Linked DNA regions of Xenopus tropicalis. The protein of the gene in region 1 interacts with the protein of each later gene in a pairwise test. Links are inferred from orthologs where the notes say so. Each region holds a gene or a part of one and is shown in the gene's direction. Other genes may lie near its edges.

Evidence for each region. The genes of interacting proteins can lie anywhere in the genome.
Region 2: the proteins of bend7 (region 1) and eaf2 interact in binary tests that used the Homo sapiens proteins (3 or more experiments, as listed by UniProt). The two-hybrid records come from large-scale screens. The link is inferred for Xenopus tropicalis from reciprocal best matches to the Homo sapiens genes BEND7 and EAF2.

Annotation. Positions count from the first base shown.
Region 1 is NC_030679.2:81,727,133-81,733,183, forward strand, and holds the start of bend7 (BEN domain-containing protein 7), read left to right. Parts: upstream 1-2,570; 5' UTR 2,571-3,053; coding exon 3,054-3,114; intron 3,115-6,051.
Region 2 is NC_030685.2:88,582,825-88,587,308, forward strand, and holds part of eaf2 (ELL-associated factor 2), read left to right. Parts: intron 1-1,793; coding exon 1,794-1,888; intron 1,889-1,971; coding exon 1,972-2,108; intron 2,109-2,673; coding exon 2,674-2,822; intron 2,823-2,991; coding exon 2,992-3,213; intron 3,214-4,484. UniProt on the Homo sapiens protein: Acts as a transcriptional transactivator of TCEA1 elongation activity. Acts as a transcriptional transactivator of ELL and ELL2 elongation activities. Potent inducer of apoptosis in prostatic and non-prostatic cell lines.

The DNA of each region.
Region 1 (6,051 bases):
GCACACTTAAGGAAATTTGTTTTCATATGGTAGCCCGGAATATGTGGGCATTCACGGATTTGCAGCTAGAAGTATTGCACTTTGCCAGTGTTTTGTTACTTGGGAATAGAAATAAGTATGAATGTGAGCCATTTAGTAATGTCTCTAATGTACCTAGAAATGTGAATCTTTACATGCTGAAATGTGGCTCATTGTGGAGATGAGTTTAATATGAAAAACTTTGCATGTTGCCCTGTTCATCTGGAGCCCAGAAGAAACCACTGAGCTTGAACTCTTGCATTTGCTAGGTAGGAAGTCAAATTTTAAGAATTTTTTAAAGGTTCTTAAATAAATCAAAATTATTTTGCACTCTTATTGCACAAATTAATAAGCAGTTGTAGAACACGGGATGCAATTTTTCAGAAGCATGCCTCATATTTACAACAGTTTAAAGGTAAGGCCAATTGTGCATGTGAAGCTGGTCTGAAACATCGAGGAAAAAGAGCTTAACAAAAATGTTATTTCTATCAAAATGGCTTCCATAGCCGTAGCCATAGTCACCTAAGGGATATTTTTCTGGTATATGTTTGTTATTCTGTTACATCTTTTAACAACATATTAGCAAAAGCCATAGAAGTTGTTAGATTTCTGAAGTATTTAGTCCTTAACTGTTTCATCAATAATATATGCGTGAAAGCAAGGCATATGCCATGGTTGACAAATGAAATTGTTGATGTGATCTCTTTATTTTAATTTCTGAGGTTTTGAGAATCAGCACTAAAGGCGGACCAGAAGGGCTGACCGGTGTAGTGGCCGGGTTATGCTATGAACTGAATTAAATGCTGCATGTTCTTGGCTGCTTTTATGTTCATCTTCACCTGTCATTGTTAAACAAGGAGTTTATTAATTATTTATCACTGAGATGGTCAAGAAGATTGATTGGATTGTTTTGCTTTGGAAAAAATTGCATTATGCAGGCTGTATACATAAAAACTTAATTGATCTTTTACACTTTCAAGTCTTTAGAAAAAGGTGTATGAAATGAGTCCGCCTTCTGCCAGCTATTTAGGTAGCAATGCCTAGTATATTCTTATATACTTATAGCAATCGGCATGGGACTATTTTAATGTTGACATATTATTCACTTATAGTGGCATTCAATTTAAATTCAGAGTATTAAATAAAGAGCACCTTTTTTTACCATTTGAATATAAAAGATATATATATCTAATTGAGAACAGCACTACCACCTTTCAATTAGTTATTGTGCGTGGTTACCTCTTGCATAAGGAAAATAACATACAAAAATTTCCCAGCATTCCAGGCTTTTTTGTGCTTTAAAAATCCCTTTATTATATTACTATATATATATATATATATATATATATATATATATATATAAAGCATGTATATAGAAAGCACTCACGGCAGTAAATATAGAAACAGTCCGTTTATTCAATCACCGCATCTACACATTTTGATCCCAACAGGATCGTCATCCTGATGACTTGCTGTCGTGAGTGCTTTCTATATATGTGCTTTGTATTTTTTGGTCAGCACCCGGCGAATGTCTATGATGTGGTGAGTGCCGATTTTTTATAGACTATATATATATATATATATATATTTATACATACAACAGCAGAATTGATGCGCACTCCGTTGTATTCTATTTCTAAAGTTTATTCAAAAAAGCATCTTTACATTAATGGTTTGGTTCTGGTCTAGAACCTTTATCAATATGTTTTATATGCAATACATAAAGAGAACTATAAAGAGAAAATGTACCGCACTCACAGGAACTCCTCAAACAAGAGTGTGTTTTATTTACAAAAATTTTCTCTATAGTTCTCTTAACTTGCACCTGGGACAGTTGGCCTTACAGTTAAGGATAGTGCTCCTCTTTGTTCTTGTGTATATATATAAAGACAAACAAGAGCACACCTATGCAAATCAATTGCCTGGGCGCTGGTTAGGAATTGTGAACAAATTAACAAAGTACACCGCACTTGCAGGTCTTAACATAAAAAAAGTTTTTATTGAATCATTTTGGTCACATAGAGTAACCTTCCTCAGGGACAAGACTCTCCTTTTTCCTGAGGAAGGTCAGTTTATTGGCAGAAACATTGGATTTTCAATAACAAACACATTTGTTTTGACATAAAGACCTGCAAGAGAGGGATGCTTGTTAATTTTTATATATATATATACATATATATATATTTTTTTAATGTAATTAGTTTGTATTGTATAGTTGATATATGGGATATAAGGTGTATGCACTATTTTGAAAACAATGTATCAACCCTAGTAACTTGTGTGGTTTTTATTATCTTATCTGACCTATACTGAAAGGCCTATGAAGCGTCTAAACTTTTTTTCCTAGCGATCGATTTTGTTGGAGTGTCTCCCATAAGTAGTAACTGTAGGCATAACAAACTGTAGACGCTCTCTTTTTGTGCTTGCCAGCCAGTGTAGGGTCACACGGCTCCATTCTACCTGCTTGTAATACTAAACTACTGCCAGCAGGTGGCATGAGTTCTCCTTTACACAAATAATTCTCTTCCCTGTTTATCATTGACAGCAATAAAAAAGGAGGAAGGAGAAGAGCGATCGCATACTCAGAGGGCCCTGTCTCCTGCTCCCGGTGCTCTGGGGACCCCTCGGATGCATTACCTAAGGGACATCTGGATACCAGGGGGTGGGGGGAAAGTGATGCCTGGCTCTCGCTACCACCCAGGGATTTATAATCTGAATCCTTTGCATTTTAACCTCCCGCACCTCTCTCCTGGAAACTGAAAAATAAAACTTTGCCATCAAGCCCTGCAGTTGGAGCTGAAAGGCAGCAGTGTTGCAGATTAAAGAGACGGACCTTGGTCCTCCCTGTGTGTGACTAGTGCTTGATTTCCCATTTTCTTTTATTTCCCCCCTCCCCTTCCTCTTCACTGTCTTAATCTCTCTGATCTTTTTTTTCTCCCTCTGCTCCTCAGTCTCTTCCTCCTCCTTTCTGCCAACAACAAAAATAACAAAAAGCCACCATCAGAGGCACCTCTTGCCAGAATAAAAAGGAAAGCATGGAGTTCTCAGAGAGGAAGAGGAGCAGGAAATCCCAGAGCTTTAAACTGGTGAATCAAGGTAAGGAGCTATAGAATAGACAAGGCTGATGCCCCTTTATAGTGGCACTGGCAGTGTGGCTAAATATGCCTTCCCATGGCAGTGACAGTGTAATCATTGGCATGGGGGGAGGATGGGGAGAGTGGCAGTTGTCAGGAGCATATGAGACAAACAACTAGAAAATATGCACATCAGTAATGCCAGTGGCAGATGTATTAATAGGGCTGCAATGGACAAAAGCTGCAGGGAACCTGCTTGTATATTTTGGACATGGGTTCACTTGGGATTATCATAGGATGAGGGAATGCTACATTATATTCTCAAAATGTCCAACCTGTGGCCCTATAGTTAGACAATTTTTGAGAGTTGTAGTTCAACAATAACTGGAGGGTCACATGTTAGGCACCTCCGCCTTTCAGTAACAGGTGTATATCCATGAATTATTCTTACTGGATTTTTAAGGTGTGTAAAGGGCAATAGATAATAGCAGGTGTTTTATTATTCTCTGACACGTAAATAATGTGGCGTCTGTGCAGCTTGGCTCCAGGAGGCTGCAACGTATTCTCAGGAAACAGACAGAAGGGTGAAGGCCATGAACATGGAAGTGGAGAGTGATCTCTCCATTTGCCGTCTGCTGCTAGTGCTTCCCTGACTGCTGCCAGTGACAAGCTGGGGGTGGGCAGCCTGCAGAGTTCAGGGCAGGTCAGAGCAGCTTTGTACAGGCTCCTGCGGCTGTGTCATGTGCCAGGGCAATTCCACTTACTGATATTCCTACACATACCTTTTATGTGCTTACACAATTGGGCCAGGCTCATAAAAAGGCCAATATACATTTGAAGGTGAAAGATTTAATCCAAGTAAACACACACCCTTATATACTAGTAATCCAACTCATTTTGCAGTTATTCTTATATATATTTTATTGTAAGTTTTTTTTATTCTGCCTTTCTTCACTCTTGCATTTGGTTGCAATATTATTTCTTTTTTTAAGTTTTGCATTTGTTTTCATGTGTGCATGTTTCCTTTTTTTTGGCCATACTTTAACAAGTTATGTTTCTTTTTTTGTTAATGCACACATTCAAACCACTGCCTAGTATAAACTTTACTTCATTTAAAATATGACGATATGAACTGAAAAGATAAAAGACCAATTACTTTGACTGCTTAATAACAGAAGCTGAGGTTGAACAGAACACAAGCCACTGAGATCATAATCACCATGTAGCTCCTTGTTGGCAGTGATGTAATTCTTCGCTGAACTGCCAGACAAGAGGGTTGATGCAAAATGTGTAATTATTTCAAACTGTATTCTCCTGTGGCAGTATCTTTAATAACTATACACAAGATAAAGTGTTTATTTGTTTTACAACTTACAGGCATAACCTTAGGTTTAAATTCCAGATTGTATATAGGCCTTTGATATTCAGGGGATGACAGGGTCCAATTTCACTGTGGAAAAAAGTAAGGAATGGATTTGATACCCGACAGCACCAGGTCCGCTGGCAATCTTTGGATTCTGGCAAATACCAGATTCCATAGACTATCACTATTTGTTGGGCCGGTGGGGGGCTGCTTGGCCTCTTTGGGCAACTGAAAAATTGAATTCACAATCAGGATTTGAATGATCTCTGAGTATATATATATATATATATATATATATATATATATATATATATATATATATACAGAATATTATTAGCATTGAGCTGGATTGCACCACAGGGGTGTGTGGAAAGTTTGTTCTTCCCAATATGCATCATTGTGTAAATTTAGTGCAACAGTACAAGGGGGAATGCATGCAATCACACTAGTCCATGGATGCCAATAGAACTGAAATCAGTCAGATCAGAATAGTAGCAAAACAGCAGTTTTCAGGAAGCATTACCAGCTTGGCTAATGTACTGAATTATAATCAATTCTTTTGTTTAAACCTCTCATAAATGCAGTAACACAACTTCTGAATCTCAGTTTACCTGGTTTAATGTAGGTTGTTACAGACACAGCACAATTTTAATTAACACTGTAAACCATTCTTTCATATAGGGGCAGCTGCTCTGATTGCTGACAGAAGTAAATGATTAACTCTGTTGCTTATGCAGTAATGAAACATTTAGTTAAACATTAGCAGACACTGTAGGTTTAATATTTCTAATGTTGGTGCTAATACAGGAAGTCACCATTTTTCCACCCGCTCAAGGAATGTGCACCAAGTGCTTTCACATCATTGCATACATACCCAAGAAATTCTTAGAAAATACCAGAGAAGTTTCTACCATTTACTCTTTGTGTCACTTTTGGAAAATTAATTTTAATATAAACATTGTTCCAGTAATTTATAAATGAATCTACACCAGAGACTGGTAGCTCAAAATAGATAATCTGGCTCATGATCTCCATTTGCTGTGTCGTTAAAGGGGCACTGACACATTCCTATGAAAATCCATATGAAAGTGTCAGTATTACTAAAAAGTTTCAGCATAAAAATATAACTAGTGAAAAATCCTCAAGCTGAGCGGTACTTACCTGAGTGACACTCCAACACAGCAAAAGGATCCTCTGCAGTTGTGTCCATCATGCTGGGTCAGGGGCAGCACAATCCTTCCATAGGCTGGAGTATTGTTTCCATTTGTAATTGGCCTATCAAAGGATTGCACCGCCTCCAACCCAGCGTGACACAGGAAAACAGTGCATCTCCTTCTTCTCTCAGTCCCCTTCATAAAGAGCAGGTACCATTGGGCTGCTCTCTGAGCGTTGTGACGCATTTCTATGGATTATACAATGGTCTAAGTGAGGCAACTCACTTGTATGTATGTATATTTTTCTTTATATAGCACTACTTGTATGCAGCACTGCACAGCAGACCAATAGATTGATAGAACAAACAGTAGGTCATAACAATAAATGATACAAATAAATACAAAGTATAGTAATAAATACAAAGTAAAGTTGCATTAAAGA
Region 2 (4,484 bases), on another chromosome or scaffold:
GTGCCCGGGGCGCCAAATTGAAATGAGTGTGCAGCCTGGCGCTACCCAAAATAGCCGTATTCATAGTGAGAGGGGATTTACTAAATATGGGCTCGAGCCGTGACACCGAGCTGTGAGGTTTGTCCTGTGGCTCTGCTGTCAGGTGTGCGGAGTCGCGTCTAGCAGCTGTTCCTTCCCTTCCTACCTGTGTCCTATCAGTCACCCAGAGCATTCCTTCTCTGTATATTTGTATTTATACATATGGGTAGGGGGTGCCATAGTGTTTCCCTTAGACAGTACAGTATGGGGGTACAGCTTATTGTGTGCCCAGAACATTCCTTCTCTGTATATTTGTATTTATACATATGGGTAGGGGGTGCCATAGTGTTTCCCTTAGACAGTACAGTATGGGGGTACAGCTTATTGTGTGCCCAGAACATTCCTTCTCTGTGTATTTGTATTTATACATATGGGTAGGGGGTGCCATAGTGTTTCCCTTAGACAGTACAGTATGGGGGTACAGCTTATTGTGTGCCCAGAACATTCCTTCCCTGTATATTTGTATTTATACATATGGGTAGGGGGTGCCATAGTGTTTCCCTTAGACAGTACAGTATGGGGGTACAGCTTATTGTGTGCCCAGAACATTCCCTCTCTGTATATTTGTATTTATACATATGGGTAGGGGGTGCCATAGTGTTTCCCTTAGACAGTATGGGGGTACAGCTTATTGTGTGCCCAGAACATTCCCTCTCTGTATATTTGTATTTATACATATGGGTAGGAGGTGCCATAGTGTTTCCCTTAGACAGTACAGTATGGGGGTACAGCTTATTGTGTGCCCAGAACATTCCTTCTCTGTATATTTGTATTTATACATATGGGTAGGGGGTGCCATAGTGTTTCCCTTAGACAGTACAGTATGGGGGTACAGCTTATTGTGTGCCCAGAACATTCCTTCTCTGTATATTTGTATTTATACATATGGGTAGGGGGTGCCATAGTGTTTCCCTTAGACAGTACAGTATGGGGGTACAGCTTATTGTGTGCCCAGAACATTCCTTCTCTGTATATTTGTATTTATACATATGGGTAGGGGAGCCATAGTGTTTCCCTTAGACAGTACAGTATGGGGGTACAGCTTATTGTGTGCCCAGAACATTCCCTCTCTGTATATTTGTATTTATACATATGGGTAGGGGGTGCCATAGTGTTTCCCTTAGACAGTACAGTATGGGGGTACAGCTTATTGTGTGCCCAGAACATTCCCTCTCTGTATATTTGTATTTATACATATGGGAGGGAGGTGCCATAGTGTTTCCCTTAGACAGTACAGTATGGGGGTACAGCTTATTGTGTGCCCAGAACATTCCTTCTCTGTATATTTGTATTTATACATGTGGGTCAGACAGTCTGTAGGTTCTGGAGGCGGCTCACACAGTACCAGAGGCCGTGGGTGTGTTTGGGTGGGTAGGAATGCTCCGTGGATCAGACGCCTGACAGACTGGCTCTGCTGCCACGTGACTAGATATTATTATAGGATACGTGGTGCTTGGGGGTTAATGGGGCAACATGATAATGGATTGTCTGTTTTCCAGAATAAATCCAATTTTTCCACTTTAGCAGCTTTTATTGCCCGGCTTGGATACCACTATATATAGATTATTGCCCCCTGGGGGTGGGAGAGATTTGCCCCCTGTGCCCCAGTGTAACTGCTCTCCTCACACAGTATTTAGTATTATTGCCATTTCCACTCTTGGGGGGCTGCACTGCGCACCCCTCTCTATACTGTATATTCACTACATTCTTTGCAGATGATTTCAAGCCGGCGTCCATTGATACTTCCTGTGAGGGGAACCTGGAGGCGGGGAAAGGGGAACAGGTGACCATCACTCTGCCCAACATTGAGGTGAGTGTGACCAACTGGAAACTACAACTCCCAGAGTTCCCTGCCAGCCGTGGCACTAAATAACTTTATATTTGTCCTTTCAGGGTTCCACCACCCCAGTCACTGTGTTCAAAGGCTCCAAAAGGCCGTACCTAAGGGAATGTATCCTGATTGTGAATCACGACACCGGGGAGTGCCGGCTGGAGAAATTGAGCAGCAATATTAGTGTCAAAAAGACCAGGTACTGACACAAGCCCGATTCAGCAGGAACAGCCCCCTAAGTTTGCTCACAGCCTGTACAGAGAGATACCATAAAACTAATGCACATAGGGATTCCCCTGTACTAAGCACAATTCAGCAGGAACAGCCCCCTAAGTTTGCTCACAGCCTGTACAGAGAGATACCATAAAACTAATGCACATAGGGATTCCCCTGTACTAAGCACAATTCAGCAGGAACAGCCCCCTAAGTTTGCTCACAGCCTGTACAGAGAGATACCATAAAACTATGGCACATAGGGATTCCCCTGTACTAAGCACAATTCAGCAGGAACAGCCCCCTTAGTTTGCGCATAACCTGTACAGAGAGATACCATAAAACTATGGCACATAGGGATTCCCCTGTACTAAGCACAATTCAGCAGGAACAGCCCCCTAAGTTTGCTCATAGCCTGTACAGAGAGATACCATAAAACTATGGCACATAGGGATTCCCCTGTACTAAGCACAATTCAGCAGGAACTGTACTTAAAGGGAATATTTGCCCTCCTGCAGGGGTAGTACATAATGGCACTTTGTTATTCTCAGGGCTGAAGGAAGCAGCAAGATCCAGTCCCGCTTGGAGCAGCAACAGCAGCAAATGCGCAACGCCAGCAAAACACCCAACAGCGCCAAAAACTCTTCCTCGCCCATGGAGAAAATGTCTCCGGCATCCCCAATGGATGATATAGAGAGGGGTAAGTGGTACCGTAAGCTGACCATTCACCAGGGTCGCTGGCTGGGAGTTCAGGAGAAATGAGAGAACACATAGAGGGTTTGGCTGCACTCAATAGGCCATGTGGTGCTATGACCAGCAGGTGGCGCTATGCTATTTGGCTGCCAGTGACTTTTTCTATTCTCCCGCAGAACTGATGGCGGAAGCCAGCGTTATCGACCAAATGAGCAGTTCGGACAGTTCTTCGGAGTCCAAAAGCTCCTCCTCCAGCGACGACAGCTCCAGCGACTCTGAGGACGAGCGAAACAAGTCGTCCCACTCCAAGCAGCCGCTGCAGCGGCACAACTCGGGCTCCAGCGTAGAGAGCGTGCATAGGTCTCAGGACAACGGGGGGCAGATGATGAGTACTTTGCGTAAGTGCACTTACCCCCCCTCCTGTAGGACCTACTGTAACTGGCATCTAGAGAGCCATATCAAGGGCCAATACCTGCTAGATTGGTTTTCTGTTATTCAGCAGCTCTCCAATTTGGAATTTCAGCAGCTATCTGGTTGCTAGGGTCTTGTTTACCTTAGCAACCAAGCAGTGGTTTGAATGAGAGACTGGAATATGAATAGCGGAGGTGATGAATATAACAATAAGGAATAAAAAGTAACAATGATAAAACTGACGGCTCCAGGGCAATAGGTTTTGGCTGCCGGGGTCAGTGACCCCCATTTGAAAGCTGCAAAGAGACAGAAGAGGAAGGCAAATAAGTGAATAATAATAATAAACTGCAATGCTGCTAGGAATAGGGCATTCTATAACATACTAAAAGTTAACGTAAAGGGTTCAAACTGGTTGCTAGGGTCCAGTTTAACCTAGCAACCAGACAGTGGTTTGAAAGAGAGCCAGAAATATGAATAGAGGAGGGGCTGAATAGAAAGATAAGTAATAAAAAGTAACAATAACAATAAAACTGGAGCCTCACAGAGCAATAGGGTTTGGCTGCCGGGGTCAGTGACCCCCATTTGAAAGCTGGAGAGAGACAAAAAATTAAAAAAGGCGGATCATTAGGGGGTCTGTATGTTTTTAACATGGATTTTTGAATAACATTTGTAGATATGCCCTTTAATCGGATGCCCCGCCTCTGTGTTTGTGCATGACCACGCCTCCTTTTTGCACAGTTGCCCCTCCCATAGGGTGTTTATTAGCCTGTGCTCAGTCTCGGCGGGGGGGGGCAGATTATCAGTTTGCGGCAGTCTCTGGGCAAAGATAGCGACGCCTCCCCTGCCTTTCTTATGTATCTATAGGAGCAAAGGCTCCGCCCACAGCATCCAACTGTCACATTAGTCTGTGGGTTCTGGCAGGGTCCGTAAGTGTCGGCCAAATTACTGGTGCCGGCCAAAATGTTGTCTAGGGTAAATTGGACCCTAGCAACCAGCTGCTGAAAAACTAAAAAGCACCAAAGGCAGATTGTGTGCATCATACTATCCCCTATATGTAATAAAAGGCACTAAGTTTGCCCAGGAGCAGTAACCCATAGCAACCACTACTTTTAAACAGGTGACCAGTAAATGCTACCTGTTGACTGGTTGCTATGGGTTACTGGGCAAACTTAGTCCCTTTTATTACATAATCCCATAAAAGTTCATTTACAGTTGGTCACTTTATCGCTTTGGTCAGCCCTTCCCCCCCATTCTGACT